2 linked regions of the Caenorhabditis elegans genome follow. The protein of the gene in region 1 interacts with the protein of each later gene in a biochemical or structural test. Each region holds a gene or a part of one and is shown on either strand. Other genes may lie near its edges. The genes, in order: his-7 and nap-1.

Region 1 (3,145 bases):
CCTGTCAAAAACATCTCAAATAAATGTCAAAGATCCATTAACTTGAATATTATCTAGACCTGTCTTCATTCTTCATTTTGAATACAAATTAAATTGTAAAAACTTCTTTTAACTTCTGTAAAGTTAACACCTGCAAAGCATAATATTCTCTCGAACTACGAAATCAATTCTGTATGTTATCTCCTTTTCCATTGAAAACGCAGCAAGTGGCATTAGAAACGTCACCAATTTCTCATTCTGAATACAGGTCAAGTAAACAATTGTCTGCGTTGTGACGTCACAATATCTTTGTTTCAATGAGAAAGTGCATCTATGTGTATTTGAATCAACAGGAAGGATTATTTCAATCAGATTATTCAGCGAGGTCATTTCCAAGGACATTATTATGAAGACAAAAAATTTTGACGCCAATTTGTTTGAATTTTAAACAAAATTCACTATTACAAAAATGTCATACACATTTGAACGTAGACTAGAGCAATGTACCAAAATTTCTCACTTCATTTGCTTAAAATCATTTCAATATATACAACAACTAATAAACATTATTAAAATACAATTTTATTTACATTTAACTCAGGATTAAGATATTTGTGGCCCTAAAGAGGGCCGTTGGGTTCGGTAAGTTGTTTTAAGAAGGCATCTATTCCTTGTCTCCTCCAGTCTTCTTTGGAAGAAGAACAGCTTGGATATTTGGAAGAACTCCTCCTTGTGCGATGGTCACTCCAGCCAACAGTTTGTTCAACTCCTCGTCGTTACGGACGGCAAGTTGGAGATGTCTTGGGGCAATTCTGGTCTTCTTGTTGTCACGGGCAGCGTTTCCAGCCAACTCGAGAACCTCAGCAGCGAGGTACTCAAGAACAGCAGCCAGGTAAACTGGGGCTCCGGCTCCAACACGTTGAGCGTAGTTTCCTTTACGGAGAATACGGTGAAGACGACCAACTGGGAATTGGAGTCCGGCTCTTGATGAGCGGGACTTGGCCTTTCCTCCGGTCTTGGCTTTGCCTCCCTTTCCGCGTCCAGACATGGTGGTGATAGGTTGGTAGATGTAGAAACAATCTGAAGAAGACCATTAGACAGCACCCTTTTAAACACAGCTGCGGTGACTAGGCGGGCACATAGAGATAAGACAGATGGGGGAGGTGGCAGAGTGACCAAGAAAAACTGTGCACTTTGTACATTCGGCATGAGAGACAGCATAGAAAGATGTCCCCACAGAATGTCAATAGGCTCCTCCTTTCCACCGAAAAATTGTTATAAAAGAAATTACCATCAACCCATTCCTTACACTTGCCCAACGACCAGTCCAATCAATCGAAATGGCCCCACCAAAGCCGTCTGCTAAAGGAGCAAAGAAAGCCGCCAAGACCGTCACCAAGCCAAAGGACGGAAAGAAGAGACGTCATGCCCGTAAAGAATCCTACTCCGTGTACATCTACCGTGTGCTCAAGCAGGTTCATCCAGACACTGGAGTCTCTTCCAAGGCTATGTCCATCATGAACTCTTTCGTCAACGACGTCTTCGAGCGTATCGCTGCTGAAGCATCTCGTCTTGCTCACTACAACAAGAGATCCACCATCTCTTCTCGCGAAATTCAAACTGCCGTCCGTTTGATTCTTCCAGGAGAGCTTGCCAAGCACGCCGTCTCCGAGGGAACCAAGGCTGTCACCAAGTACACCTCTAGCAAGTAAGCATTCAATTGCTGAAAGCAAATCACCGAACCCAACGGCCCTCTTTAGGGCCACATTTGTGAAAATCCTTTATCAATGCAAATATTCGTATAATTTCGATTATATTCATCAAACTGGTATTCAGTTTTGTATTGTGGCGATTCATCAAACACACATTCAGAAAATAAACATTTTTATGTACTTGTTCTATCAAACTGGGATTCTAATTTTTATTGTTGTAGAATGTTTTCAGAGGCAATTCATTATCGATCACATTTTCTTTACTACCACGAGAGGATCAACTGTATTATCTGTTACAACATTATGGTTCTTTCTTGAATACGTATGTTTCCAAATCTCCGCCAAACATGCTGAACTGTGAAACCGATAGAAAACTACAATTGGCGAAGCTATATTAAGCATAGCGGAGTAGCTATCAGGCAGTTTGATGGGAAATCCAAAGTTCAATTCAGTAGCTGGAAAAAAATTAGTATTAGTTAGATTACAACTCGTTACTGAACTTACTTTCGAATGTGTGATAGATAAATAGATTGATATTACATACGAGAAGAAATGTTATCACTTGTTTTCCTGGCTCAGTGTAACAATTGGTCTGGGTGTAGCATCTCATTCTGAAATATTTTCATGCAAAGCAAAATAAGATATTTTCTCGTAGTCGTTACAACCGTAGCCCCGAATATTAAAAGTGAGACGTTTTAGCCGAAACATACCTAGTAGCAATAAGGATAAAAATTGTTTGAACCAAGACTTCGGTGATTCTCAATGTGAATGATACAATTGTAATGTATGAAGCAGGTTCTTTAATCATCTTGTCATTGATATATAAATCCATTCCAGCACATGAGTACACACATTCTCCAGCTAATCCCACAATTAACAGAATCTCATCAATGACTTCTCCGTGAGCATGAAGCCTATATTGTAGTTTTCGCATTTGAAAGAATGCTAGAATACAAGCAAGAAGTGCAACAACGAACAGAAATACATCAGTGTATCCAACAAGTAGATTTGCAGCAGAATCTCGATTACTTTTTGAAAGAATTCCATGCATTCCAACTGCAACTGCTGAGATAATATGAACAGCAACTGCCAGAAATATTCCAACTGTGGTGCCACTGCAGTCAAATCGGAAATGTCGTTTTTTCTTTTTCTTCAGAGCTTCTCCTGAATTCGAGTCATCATTCTTCCAAATTATGAAACAAATTACAGCAGCAATTAGAGAAAACTCTACTAGGCATGTGAGCAAGATGCTTGAGCTACTGCCAAGTTTAATAATGGCTCTCAATTGTTTATCGTGAGGTCCAAAAGAGTCAGTTGTAAAATCATATGACATTTCCGTCAAGATCTCGGTTTTAGTTTCGTTGTCGGATCCTTCATAGGTGTATTTGATTTCTTTTTTGGCGTGTTTTATGCTCTGCAATTAAATTTCATTTTTTACTTACAAAGTTCGCTTA
Region 2 (4,202 bases), on another chromosome or scaffold:
GGCTTCGATTAAATGAAAAGTGCACTTTGCAGCACAGAAACATTCGAAACTTTTTTCGGGTCTCTTCGATAAAGTACATGCTAGAGAACTCGAGAGAAGTAGACGCAGACATATGTTCTCTTTTTTCGCAACATTTCGAAATTTGAAGAGAAAAAAACCGACGACATTTAACTCGAAAATGTGTGCAAATACTTTTTCTGTTCTTCAAATATTTTGGGAAAGTAACAAGTATTTGTCTATTGAGACTAGAACTTTTAGGTAACACCAAACTGTATAATTGAGATAATAATAAGAAGATTACCATAATTTGAATATCTACCTTCAAATGAAAAACCAGTTGGCATTGATTTACATAATCTGTTGATGGACGCGAAAACTTCCGAAGAGTTGTGCTGAAGAACAATTAAATACATCTGAAAGGAATGTGTTGGGTGATACCGGTAAACGTCCAAAGTTCGAGTCTTGGTAAATTAAAAAAGCAATCCTCTCGCAGAGACGAGTTTTCACATCATATCGTCTTTCGTTTTCGATGATAATCAATATCTCTGCTTGTGACAGTCCTAGCAAGTCTAGCGATTCCGAGCACTGTGCTTTTAAGAGGAGTTGGTAGCCGTCCAACATAATGCAGAGGGTTTTGAAATAGACGATCTCTCCTGAAAGATGTTCCAGATGGCAAGACCTCAGAAGGACTGAAATTCGCAACAAGGGATTTTATTCATCACTTAATGCAGGATCACGAAAATATTGAAATTCGAGTTCAAAGTCGACTCGTGCCAGCTCATTCAAATCCTATCATAACTAGTATGAAGAATTTGCGAAACAACATACACCAGGATGAAGACAACATGTATCAAGTATTTCGACGACAACTCGTTTTCAGGTATATCTTTAGAGATTGGGAGAAGCGGAATATGGATAGGTCAGGGAATAAACGACAACAACAAGTAACAGCAACAATCGGTTTTCCGCCTATTATGTGAAGGGGTTGGGAATAATCAAAAAAATTTTAAAAAAGAAAATGGAAAATTAATAATTTCAAAAATTGGCAAATTAATAAGTGGTCCATCGATACTGCTTAAGCCTCATCGTCACTGAAGTCTGACACATCATCACCGTCCTCTCCTGGGAAATCGAACATATCGTCTGATTGAAGTTCTCCAGTGTAGAAAAGAACAGCACGTGGAATGATGGTATCACGGATAGCTTGTCCCATCTCGTAGTCGAGCTCAAGGAACTCCTCTGCCTGTTCATCGTCCTCATCTTCATTTCTCTCGTCCTTGCTCTTTGGTGGCTCGAAGAAGTTGAAGAAACTATCTGCTTTCACAGTTTTGGTGAGGAACTTTCCAGCATTAGCTCCCTTCTTTTGCTTCTTCTTGACAGCCTTCTTGGTGACGTTCTTGCCGTCTTCCCACTCAATAGTATCTCCGACAGCGCGGATGACATGTGGTCCATCGAATTGGAGTGGTGCCTCCGCATCTGGGTCGAAACCGAGCAAGTAGGTCTTGGTAAGAACTTGGTTTTTGAAGTATGGGTTGGTGGCAAAGTGGAACTCGATTTTGAAACCCTGAAGTTCAAAACATTAACTTTCGAAAACAATGAAATGCGCTTACGGCTGGATCCTTGCTAGCGGCGGTCGTCACATCAGTGAGATATGAGAGGATTGGTACGTCATGCTCCTCGATGGCTTCAGCAACAAGATCATGGGTTCTGAGAGCGGTGAGCCAGAAATCCTTGATCCCCTTTGCTGATGGGTCAGCCTCCGCAGCTTTGTACAATTCCTGAAACAAAGAAATGTCAACTAATAAGCTGGAATTGTCATAGCCATATCATCGCGCAAGAAACACAATCCAGGAGCGGGAATAAAGGACATGTTTTATTTCGCAACGAAAAAAGGCGTGCCCCACGGGAGGCAAATCTCTTGAATAGTTGCAGGCTATATAGGGAATCTTGATTAGGAACTTACAGCGAGTTGATCTCCCTCGAGTCCTTCGAGGATTGGAGTGTCGATTTGTTCTTTAGTTGGCTCGACCTCTCCCGCGACAATAGCCTTTCTTTGATCGAAAGTGGATTTGAACTTTCCTTCAAACTCGATCTCGAGCTCGTGAACACGTTTGTAGAAGTCAGATTCAATCTGAAATAAATTATATACTTAAGAACATAAACAAAGAAAACTAACCTGAATTGTCTTCATTTGAAGGTTTTTGAGAGCGCAGACGCGTTGCTTGACATTGAGAGGCAAAGCCTGAATCATGTCGAAGTTGGTGCTGAGAAGTCCAGCGTCAATATGCTCTTGATCAGCCATTTTATTACCTACAAAGCATAAATAGATGATTTTGGCATACTCTTTCAAGCAAAAAAATACGATGATTTTCGAAAATTCGAGAAAAAATCTGTAAAATTATTGTGAAACGAAGCAGTGCTGTCTAAAATCATAGGACGAGAGTTGAAAATATATTTTCCAAACAACCACTTCGCTCCTCCTCCATAAAATGTCTCTTCGCGGTGAGACCCGCGGTTAAAGGCGCACACAAGCTTATTATTTACGAGATGGTCTTTCATGCCTATATTATTTTTTATCAATGTTTTCATATTGTCGTTTGTTTTCTGGTTTGTTTTGGTGATTTACATATAATAATTGTATTGATTTTTATTTATAAAAGTATGGATTTGTTATGATAGTAAATTCTCCTGAAATTTGATTGCATTTGAAACTAATTGTAGGCACTTTTTTTTTTAAATAAACAGTTTTTTGCGTTTCAAATTCTAAAATTTGATAGCTCTTCAAATAACCCACATCTTGGAATCATATTTCTCGTTTTCTCGATTCTCTCGAAGTTCCTTAAGCTATTAGAATATTACACATAGCATTCGACGCCAGATGTTCCCCCGTTCAGCACAAAACTTCTCACTTTACTTTAAATATTTTCAACTTCCGAAAATCTTAGCGAGTTTTCAAATTCATTGTTATTTTCAGGGAAAAATGACGACGTCCTCAGAAAATATGCAAATTATGAATGGCGTGGAAGTGCCACCGTTCAGAAATTTTCACGAGTTTCTGCTGGAAACCGATCGATACGAGGTAGGCTTGAATTGTTATTACATATATTTTTAAAGAAGGGCCAACTTTTGTAGAAAATATATTTACATATGTTGAAGTTTGACTAAAGTGGTCGTTTAAAATTTTTACTTAGAGTTTAATTTAAAAATAATCGAGTTTTTTATTTCAATATTCAAAAGATAAAAATCCAATTGATTGATTTTCAGCGTCCACCATTTAACGACTTCAAGAAATGGAACAATCGAATAATCTCGAATCTTCTGTACTTTCAAACCAACTACTTTGTTACAATCATCACTTTATTCCTTCTGCACACGTTCATCAGTAGCCAGGACATTTTCGTCGGTCTTATCGCCGTTGTCGCCGTAATTGCAACTCTAATCTTTGCTGTCTCGGCTGATGCAAATATCAAAAAGGTAATGATTGACGGGAATGTGATGTTTTTATATTGATAAGAAATTCGAATTGTTGACGGAATTGATAGGTACAAAGTTTTATTGGAATTTGGAATTCAAAATTAGTTTAAGTTCAAGTTTCAGATGCAAAACGCAGCAGCATAAAATTAAGCCATGTCCACCGTAAAAAATAAAAAGAGCTCGTTTTTACCGTTTACCTGAATAGGATAAGTTAACATATGTTTCACGTAACAGTTTGTGCACTTCGTTGATGAAAATTATTGTTGTGATAATCGTTTTTTTGCAAGTTAAAGCTAAAAAAATAATTGAAAAATATAGATTAAAACATGATGGCACATAAAATTGGTCCAAAAACAATTACTGAAACCAAGAATTACCAAAAAAAAATCAAGTTTTAAGATGCGCACGGATCATCCATTGGTCACTCTTGGAGGAATAATTCTCGTTGCCTATTTCTTCATTTCTGTCTTCCAATCCGTTCTTGTGGTTGCCTTTGCGTAAGTTTTATAAAAAATTACTAATGTTGTAAAACTGTTTTCATAAGTGGACAATATTCTTATTTAATGTAAATTTGTCGCAGTTATAAATGGACTTAATAATCAAATATAACTGTAAAAAATAAAATTCTTAATGTGTTTTTTTTTTAATTTTGCTGAAATTAAAACAAAGATATATTTATTTTTGAACTCCTTGAAAGCCGGAAAATCGCTAAAATTTTCAAAATTGAC

What was found.
Region 2: the proteins of his-7 (region 1) and nap-1 are reported together in a solved structure, tested with the Caenorhabditis elegans proteins (one study listed by BioGRID).

What each region holds. Positions count from the first base shown.
Region 1 is NC_003283.11:8,531,261-8,534,405, reverse strand, and holds his-7 (Histone H2A), read right to left. Parts: upstream 1,028-3,145; coding exon 644-1,027; downstream 1-643. Other genes in the region: his-8 (Histone H2B 2), read left to right, coding at 1,320-1,691; otpl-5 (Otopetrin-2), read right to left, coding at 1,941-2,146, 2,196-2,302, 2,402-3,105. UniProt on the Caenorhabditis elegans protein: Core component of nucleosome. Nucleosomes wrap and compact DNA into chromatin, limiting DNA accessibility to the cellular machineries which require DNA as a template.
Region 2 is NC_003282.8:8,377,010-8,381,211, forward strand, and holds nap-1 (Nucleosome assembly protein 1-like 1), read right to left. Parts: upstream 2,311-4,202; 5' UTR 2,303-2,310; coding exon 2,177-2,302; intron 2,132-2,176; coding exon 1,964-2,131; intron 1,933-1,963; exon of another isoform or gene 1,811-1,932; intron 1,779-1,810; coding exon 1,611-1,778; intron 1,565-1,610; coding exon 1,076-1,564; 3' UTR 696-1,075; downstream 1-695. Other genes in the region: D2096.7 (ELYS domain-containing protein), read right to left, coding at 302-392, 439-621; praf-3 (PRA1 family protein), read left to right, coding at 2,981-3,079, 3,265-3,474, 3,874-3,971.